2 linked regions of the Saccharomyces cerevisiae S288C genome follow. The gene in region 1 interacts genetically with each later gene. Each region holds a gene or a part of one and is shown in the gene's direction. Other genes may lie near its edges. The genes, in order: NPP2 and IAI11.

The links.
Region 2: mutations in NPP2 (region 1) and IAI11 together harm fitness more than expected from each alone (negative genetic interaction), as found in Saccharomyces cerevisiae (one large-scale study listed by BioGRID).

What each region holds. Positions count from the first base shown.
Region 1 is NC_001137.3:123,900-127,777, reverse strand, and holds NPP2 (nucleotide diphosphatase/phosphodiesterase NPP2), read left to right. Parts: upstream 1-1,559; coding exon 1,560-3,041; downstream 3,042-3,878. Other genes in the region: EDC3 (Edc3p), read right to left, coding at 1-1,149; GTT3 (Gtt3p), read right to left, coding at 3,108-3,878. UniProt on the Saccharomyces cerevisiae protein: Mediates extracellular nucleotide derived phosphate hydrolysis along with NPP1 and PHO5.
Region 2 is NC_001134.8:108,624-111,823, forward strand, and holds IAI11 (Iai11p), read left to right. Parts: upstream 1-1,970; coding exon 1,971-2,256; intron 2,257-2,325; coding exon 2,326-2,621; downstream 2,622-3,200. Other genes in the region: Arf family guanine nucleotide exchange factor YEL1, read left to right, coding at 1-1,372; CMC2 (Cmc2p), read right to left, coding at 1,502-1,797, 1,883-1,916; protein phosphatase regulator SHP1, read left to right, coding at 2,814-3,200.

The sequences.
Region 1 (3,878 bases):
ATCCTGTAGTTCATTTTGAGAACATGTAAATAATGTTATGACACGGATATGCCCCGTTTGGCAAAGATGTCTACCCAACGCCAGAGCTTTCGCACCAGATCTGTTGGAATCTGAGGCTAGTATTACTACTAAAGGTTCCGGATTAGAATTTTGTAAACGTAAACGTGCACGGCCACCTAGTTTCTGCTTTAAGAAGAACGATGCGTTTACAGCAAAATTTTCTAGTAGCCCTGCCGAGTTAATACTGAAAAATTCGGACGTGATGCTCTCCATTTCTAGTAGTTGTACTGGTGTAGCCATAGGAATGTTCTGCTTAGTGTTCTTTGATCTGATGGTTGTTTGTTTATTTGCAGCTGGCAAGGATGTTGAGTTGGATCTTGACTGGCTGATGATCATCTGGCCTAATTTAGCTAGTACCTGATCCTTATCATTTATAACTGTACCTTTCGTTTTATCATTTATGGATGGAGAGTTAGTTGCAGAGTGAATTAAATGTGTAATATTCAAAGACTGAGTTATTGGTAGGTATTTGGGATCATCGATATCATCGACATCGTATTCATGTTCATCATCTTCCAAAACCAGATCATCTTGAGCATCTTGTTGCGGCTGAGATTGGTGTGTGCTTTGCTCATTTCTTGAAGAAATCTTGTTCCATGAATCTTTCTTTGCATCTGGAATAACCAATTCATCATTTTGATAATTATTTTGCTGCAATTGGGTTTGCTTTCTGTTATGTCCCTGTAATCTATTCTCCGGTAATATATCGTCATTTTGCTTTAATTGTGCGAAGACGTCTTTTTTGTTAAACATGCCCAAATTTCTTTGGAAATCGAAATCTTCCTGTTGTTTTATCTTACTAACATCATCATCTTGCCAATCAATATGTTCACCGCGATTTTGATTATAATCGTTTTGTTGCTGCTGTTGTCTTTGCTGCTTCCTTTTCCCGGATTGAGAGGCAACAGTTAGAACCTTTAAGTCCTTTAGCCTTGACGCCCTCACTTTGAAAGCTTGAGATTTACCACCATCGCCGAATTGAACGTCATTTAAAGTCAATCCTTTTGAGGTTGCTTTGGCAATTTTCCCCTGAATGAGCTTCCCATCTTTTAGCTCCACTTGTACTCCGAAACCAACAAATTGTGACATTATGGTTTCTTTTACGAATTACTGTATTGTCTTGAGAGCATGGATTTGCAGAAAAAGCAGTCAATAGTAGGCCTTTTGACTAAACTATTCGAGCTAACTATGTTTTCTTTCTATTTCTCAGCGATTGAAAAAAAAAAAACAAGCGGAAAAAGAGACGGGCTTCAAATCCAGGGTAATAAAATGACATAATTAATAAACAAGATGATTGCAGCTAATTACAATAGAGTGTAGCGACACTCGATAACTGGGTTGAGAGTTTTTCTATCAATTAGACGGTTTACTGTGCGTTGATGGAAGATAATTTAAGGCTTTATATGACTGTGACGCTTGATACCAGGGTTCATTAAACACGCAGGCCACAAAACAGTTTCGAAATAACAAAGAAGGCCATTTCGAAGTGTGCTTACGATATGCTTCTTTTCGAGCAACCTGTTGACCTTGAAAAAAATAATGAAGATGATACGAACATAAAACCTTTCGCAATATCACGACATTTTTTATTGAAACTTTTGCTTTGCGGTATAATACTCATTGAGTTGCTTTTATATTCGAAGTGCCCAAAACCTATTGATAATGGGCCCCGGACAATTGCGAATAGATCAAATACTTACTTCAACGGCACACATGATTTCAAGACGTTAACGATATTGATATCTATCGATGGGTTCCATCCGAGATTGATAGATGCAAAATACACGCCATTTCTTTACAACTTGCACAATTTGCGGTCCCCGTACGATATGAATATCACGACTGCACCGTATATGATCCCAAGTTTTCCCACTCAGACATTTCCCAACCACTGGAGCATGGTAACGGGAAAATATCCCATTGAGCACGGTATTGTTTCCAATATATTCTGGGATAATTTCACGAGTAGCGAATTTAGACCAAATAACCTCGACGCAAGAATTTGGAGCAACACGGCTGACCCTATTTGGCAACTACTGCAAACTGAATCGCAAGGCGAATATAAAGTGGCCACGCATATGTGGCCTGGAAGTGAGGTTGTGTATGAGGACCACGGGGATGTACCTAGGGAAAGAATGCCATTTTATTTTGGGAAATTCAATCAATGGGAAAAACTTCAAGATAAATTAGCTCAAATTTTCCGATACATAGATATGCCTCAGCTTAAAGATAGGCCAGAATTGGTCATAAGTTATATACCCAATGTTGATTCGTACGGACACAGTTTTGGATACGATTTACGAGATAAGCGGCTACAAAAGCTGATCGGTGAAGTCGATGGATTCTTTCTCGATTTGATTGAAGGCCTGCAAAAAAGAAACTTGTTGAAAATTAGCAATGTTATGATTGTTAGTGACCATGGCATGAGCAATGTCAACGCGAATGACGGTGAGCATGTTGTTGTGTGGGAAAGGGTGTTCCCGGCCGACGCAATGAGCGCATTTATTTCGCATCTTTATAACGAGGGCCCCATGATGATGGTATGTTTGAAAAACCCTCGAGACAAGCAATGGATTTGTGACTTGATTGAAGCTCAGTTAGAGAAAGCATATGGAGATGAAATATCGAGGAAGTTTCACGTGATCCTGAAAGAAGATTTCGACCCGAGCTGGAAATATTTCCAATACGATAACAGAAAGCACAGATATGACGATAGGGTCGGCGATATCTGGATTCTCGCAGATGAATACTACGCCATTGTAAAAGAAATGGGTGATGTGCCTATCGGCATTATGGGCACACATGGATACAACTTTAACAACTGTAGTGATATGGCATCTATATTCATTGGAATGGGTCCGATGTTCAACAATGAAGTCGTACCTCCATTTGAAAACATCGAAGTATACAATATGCTGATCAAGGCAAGTGCGCTTTTGGGAGAAGAAAAGACAAAGAAGGAGAAGAGTTTATTACAATAATACAGAGTAGTAAATACACACTTCGCGGCTTACGTACGCGTGTGTATACGTATGTAAGAAAATATACTATAATACGTATAGAGTGAGGAGACAACTAACCATGGAGAATACTAGAGGTACCATACCAAGGGAACGGTTCACTGTACAGAGTTGTGTCCATAGTTGGTTAACACATCGAAAAGAATGGAAATCTATGTTTTTATTATTACAAGTTTTGAAGATTGCCAAAGAAATCAAGAATTTCGTGAGATTGAAAGTCATCGGGTCCAACTCGATGTTCAGGTCGTAGCGGATGAAGTTGATGTAGTATGACACTAACGTTGGAATACCCCTAAAGAAGAGCAGCCACGTGAGTATTGGTAAACAGAAATCGAGCGTGTATTGATATTTATTATGGGCGGCAACGGCGGCTTCCAGCGACGATGCGAGCGAAGAAGAAGAAGTTGGCTGCCCGGCGGCTAATATGTTTCTCACCAGAAAAGAGAATTCCAACAAGGAAAAAATCGTATCGACGGCGGAAATAGTGGAAAGATAGTCCTGAACATTTTCATTCAATTTCTGCGTTTGGTATCTAATATCGGAGAGGTATTCCTGAAAGTTAAACTTGAACTTAGTAAACGCAGAGGTGGACGAGTCGTTATCTGTGCTAAAATCCAACAAATTGAAGTTCGTTTTGGCGTTTGAATTTGCATTCCTGCTGGAAAGCGGCTTTGTCGCGCTTGTTTCATCGCCTGATTGCGGTTTCTCATCATCATCCTCCTTGATGTACGCTTTCTCCAGATCGGAATCATTTGTGGCGGTGTCACAGGATCCAGACCCAGACCCGTTTCCAGATCC
Region 2 (3,200 bases), on another chromosome or scaffold:
ACTAAGAGAGGAAAATGAATACGAAGAATTGAAAATATACTCCCGCGAACATTTGATCATCGAAGAACTTTCCGAATACTATAAAACGTTAAATGAAACGCCTTTACCGTTATGCACAGAATCTAGAACATCAATAAATATATCAGATAACCAATCTTCCTTGAAAAGGTTCTCTACTCTAGGATCACGGGAATTTAGTACATCAAATTTACGTAGTGTTAACTCTAATTCTACTACACTATATTCAAGAGATGGTCAAGTATCTGTACGAGAAATGAGCGCAAAATCAAATAAAAACTTTCACAATAATCACCCCATGGATGCACTCTACCTTAAAGAGTCTTTTGATGACGGTTTAATTACCGAAAACGGCTCCAGTTGGTTCATGGACGATTTAATTCTTATAAGCAAGAAATCTTTACCACGTAAATATTCTAAAAGAGACAAAGATCAAGTGGCGGCACCAAAAATGACCTCTAAGAGAAACAAATCGTTCTTCGGATGGCTAAAACCATCTAAAACGACTACACTTATTGAGCACACATCTAGAAGGACTTCTTTATCGTATTTGAATAAGGATTCTGAATGGGAGAGGGTGAAAATACAGGTCAAGGAGGGCAGAATTTTTATTTTCAAAATTAAACCAGATGTTAAGGATATCATCCAATCAAGTGAAACAGACAGTGCTACCATCGACTATTTCAAAGATATCAGTAGCTCTTATTTTGCTTACTCACTGCTTGAAGCTGAAGCACATGTCGTGCAAGATAATATAATTATAGGTAGTGGAGCAATGAAATCAAATGTGTGTAACAAAAACACCAAGAGGAAAAGTGGCAACTTTACCGTTAGTTTTCCAGAGAATATCAACGGACCAAAGCTTGTTCTGGAGTTCCAGACGAGAAGTGTTGAAGAAGCCCACAAGTTTATGGACTGTATCAACTTCTGGGCAGGTAGGATTTCTCCAGTTCCTTTAACACAATTCGAAGCCGTATCTAACGCAGAATATGGATGGAGTGACAAGATCTTGACAGAGCACGCTTCCCTCAATCTTAAAAATATTGTTGTAAGTGAATGGAAGCCACTATTGGGGCTAGAGCTACTATACGAAGATGCGAAAGATGTAGAGATGGTCGAACTAAAAGAAAGGCTAAAGGAATTGATGAACTTCACCAGACAGCTTGGTATATGGATAGATAAACATAACGAAATAAAGGATAAGCTGGTCGAAATTTGGAGCTTTGACGATAACTATTTTGAAGCAGTCATGAATAATTGGAATTCGAGATATTTGTATATGAATAATCAATATAAGAAACGACTGAGCTACTTGAAAGCTTTGCAAAAAGCCATGGGTTCTGTTCAGTTCTAAGTATATTTAAAGATATAAATATAAAGACTGCGCTGAAGAAATATAAACTTGAAAACTGTACTCTGCCTTTTATTTACAAGGGATATTGAGATGATTTGTGTGAATGAAGTAGCGACAGAAAAAAAGCTTTTATTTCGAGTTCGCATCATTGTCACTTTCCTGCTTTTTCTTGGCGTACTGTCTATCTAAGATAGTCTTTAATATAGCGTCCTCGCCATATTCTTCTTCCTCAATTTTCTTCCATCTCTTTTCTACATCAGCTCTCTTTATTCTACTTTCAATGACAGCACGTTTCTTGTTATTCAAACTTGCCTCCTTGAGACACTTGTTCAAAGCATCCTTTTCGTTGTTACAAAGGCCAAATATTCTCTTGTAATATTCCTTTTGATGGCATTTATCGAGTGCATTGATGAAGTCCAAACAGGCTAAAATGAAGAAGGGGAGAATACAATGTTAGTAAGTCGGAGCACAGAAAAAGGCAAATATATGAAGTAAAATCTGGATACTTACAATGAAAACGTTCAGCTTCTAACTGTGGATGCATGTTGTAGTACTTGTCTTATCTTGCTTTTGTTCAACTGCACTTGTAAATCAGTGAATGTTATTGGACGCGCAGCGATTTTTTAATAGGTCTTTCTCTATTAATGTAATATGCGAATTGAAACATAATGTAAACACAAGAAGAAAATTCGAAATAAAGGACTGGCCAACAATAATGTTAGTGAGCAGAAACGACAAGCCCAAAATCAGTAGTGAGGAAGTCACACATTTTATAGACGACTATAAAAAGAGGAGGAAAACTCAGATGACACGATTCTTCGGAATCACTATTTTTACACTTATAACATGTAGAATTGCCATGAAGAAAATGATAACTGCAAAAGGTATGCATAGGCAATAACTTCGGCCTCATACTCAAAGAACACGTTTACTAACATAACTTATTTACATAGTGCCATTGAACACTTTTCAAGCAAACTACGCCAGCCGGACGCAGACAATAACACACACACAAAAGAGTCTTGCAGGTTCTCTTTTAGCGGCAACGGGCATGACACTAGGTATATTTGGTATGGGCATCACAGGGACATGTTGGAGCTGGGATGTTTCATCATTTCAGGAACTAAAGCAACGTCTGGAAAGGCGTGCCAACAACGAATTTGTAGTGACAAACATGCCTCTGGATAAAAGAAGCCAGCAAGTAGTGGACAGCTTAGTTAAGACACACAATTCATCTCTTTGTAAATAGTGTTATACCATAGTAGTAGTTTCAATAATATATTCCACTACTTATATGTGTTACCCGCATTAGAACTCTTATTGGTGGCGAAAATCGATGGCAATAAAGAACGGAAGGGGTTTAATAGTTGTATGCTTAACATATTTCGATTTAAATATATAAGAAACGTCGGTAGCACAACAATTAACTCATTATTTAGGTATGGCGGAAATACCTGATGAAACCATCCAGCAGTTCATGGCATTGACCAATGTGTCGCATAACATAGCCGTTCAATATCTCTCTGAATTTGGAGATTTAAATGAAGCACTAAATTCCTATTATGCTTCTCAAACGGATGACCAAAAGGATAGAAGAGAGGAAGCACATTGGAACAGACAGCAGGAGAAGGCCCTCAAGCAAGAAGCCTTCTCCACCAACTCTTCGAATAAAGCCATAAATACGGAGCACGTTGGTGGGTTATGTCCAAAACCAGGATCCTCACAAGGTAGCAACGAGTACTTGAAAAGGAAAGGTTCTACCTCTCCTGAACCAACCAAGGGTAGTAGCCGCTCTGGAAGTGGTAACAACTCCAGGTTTATGAGCTTT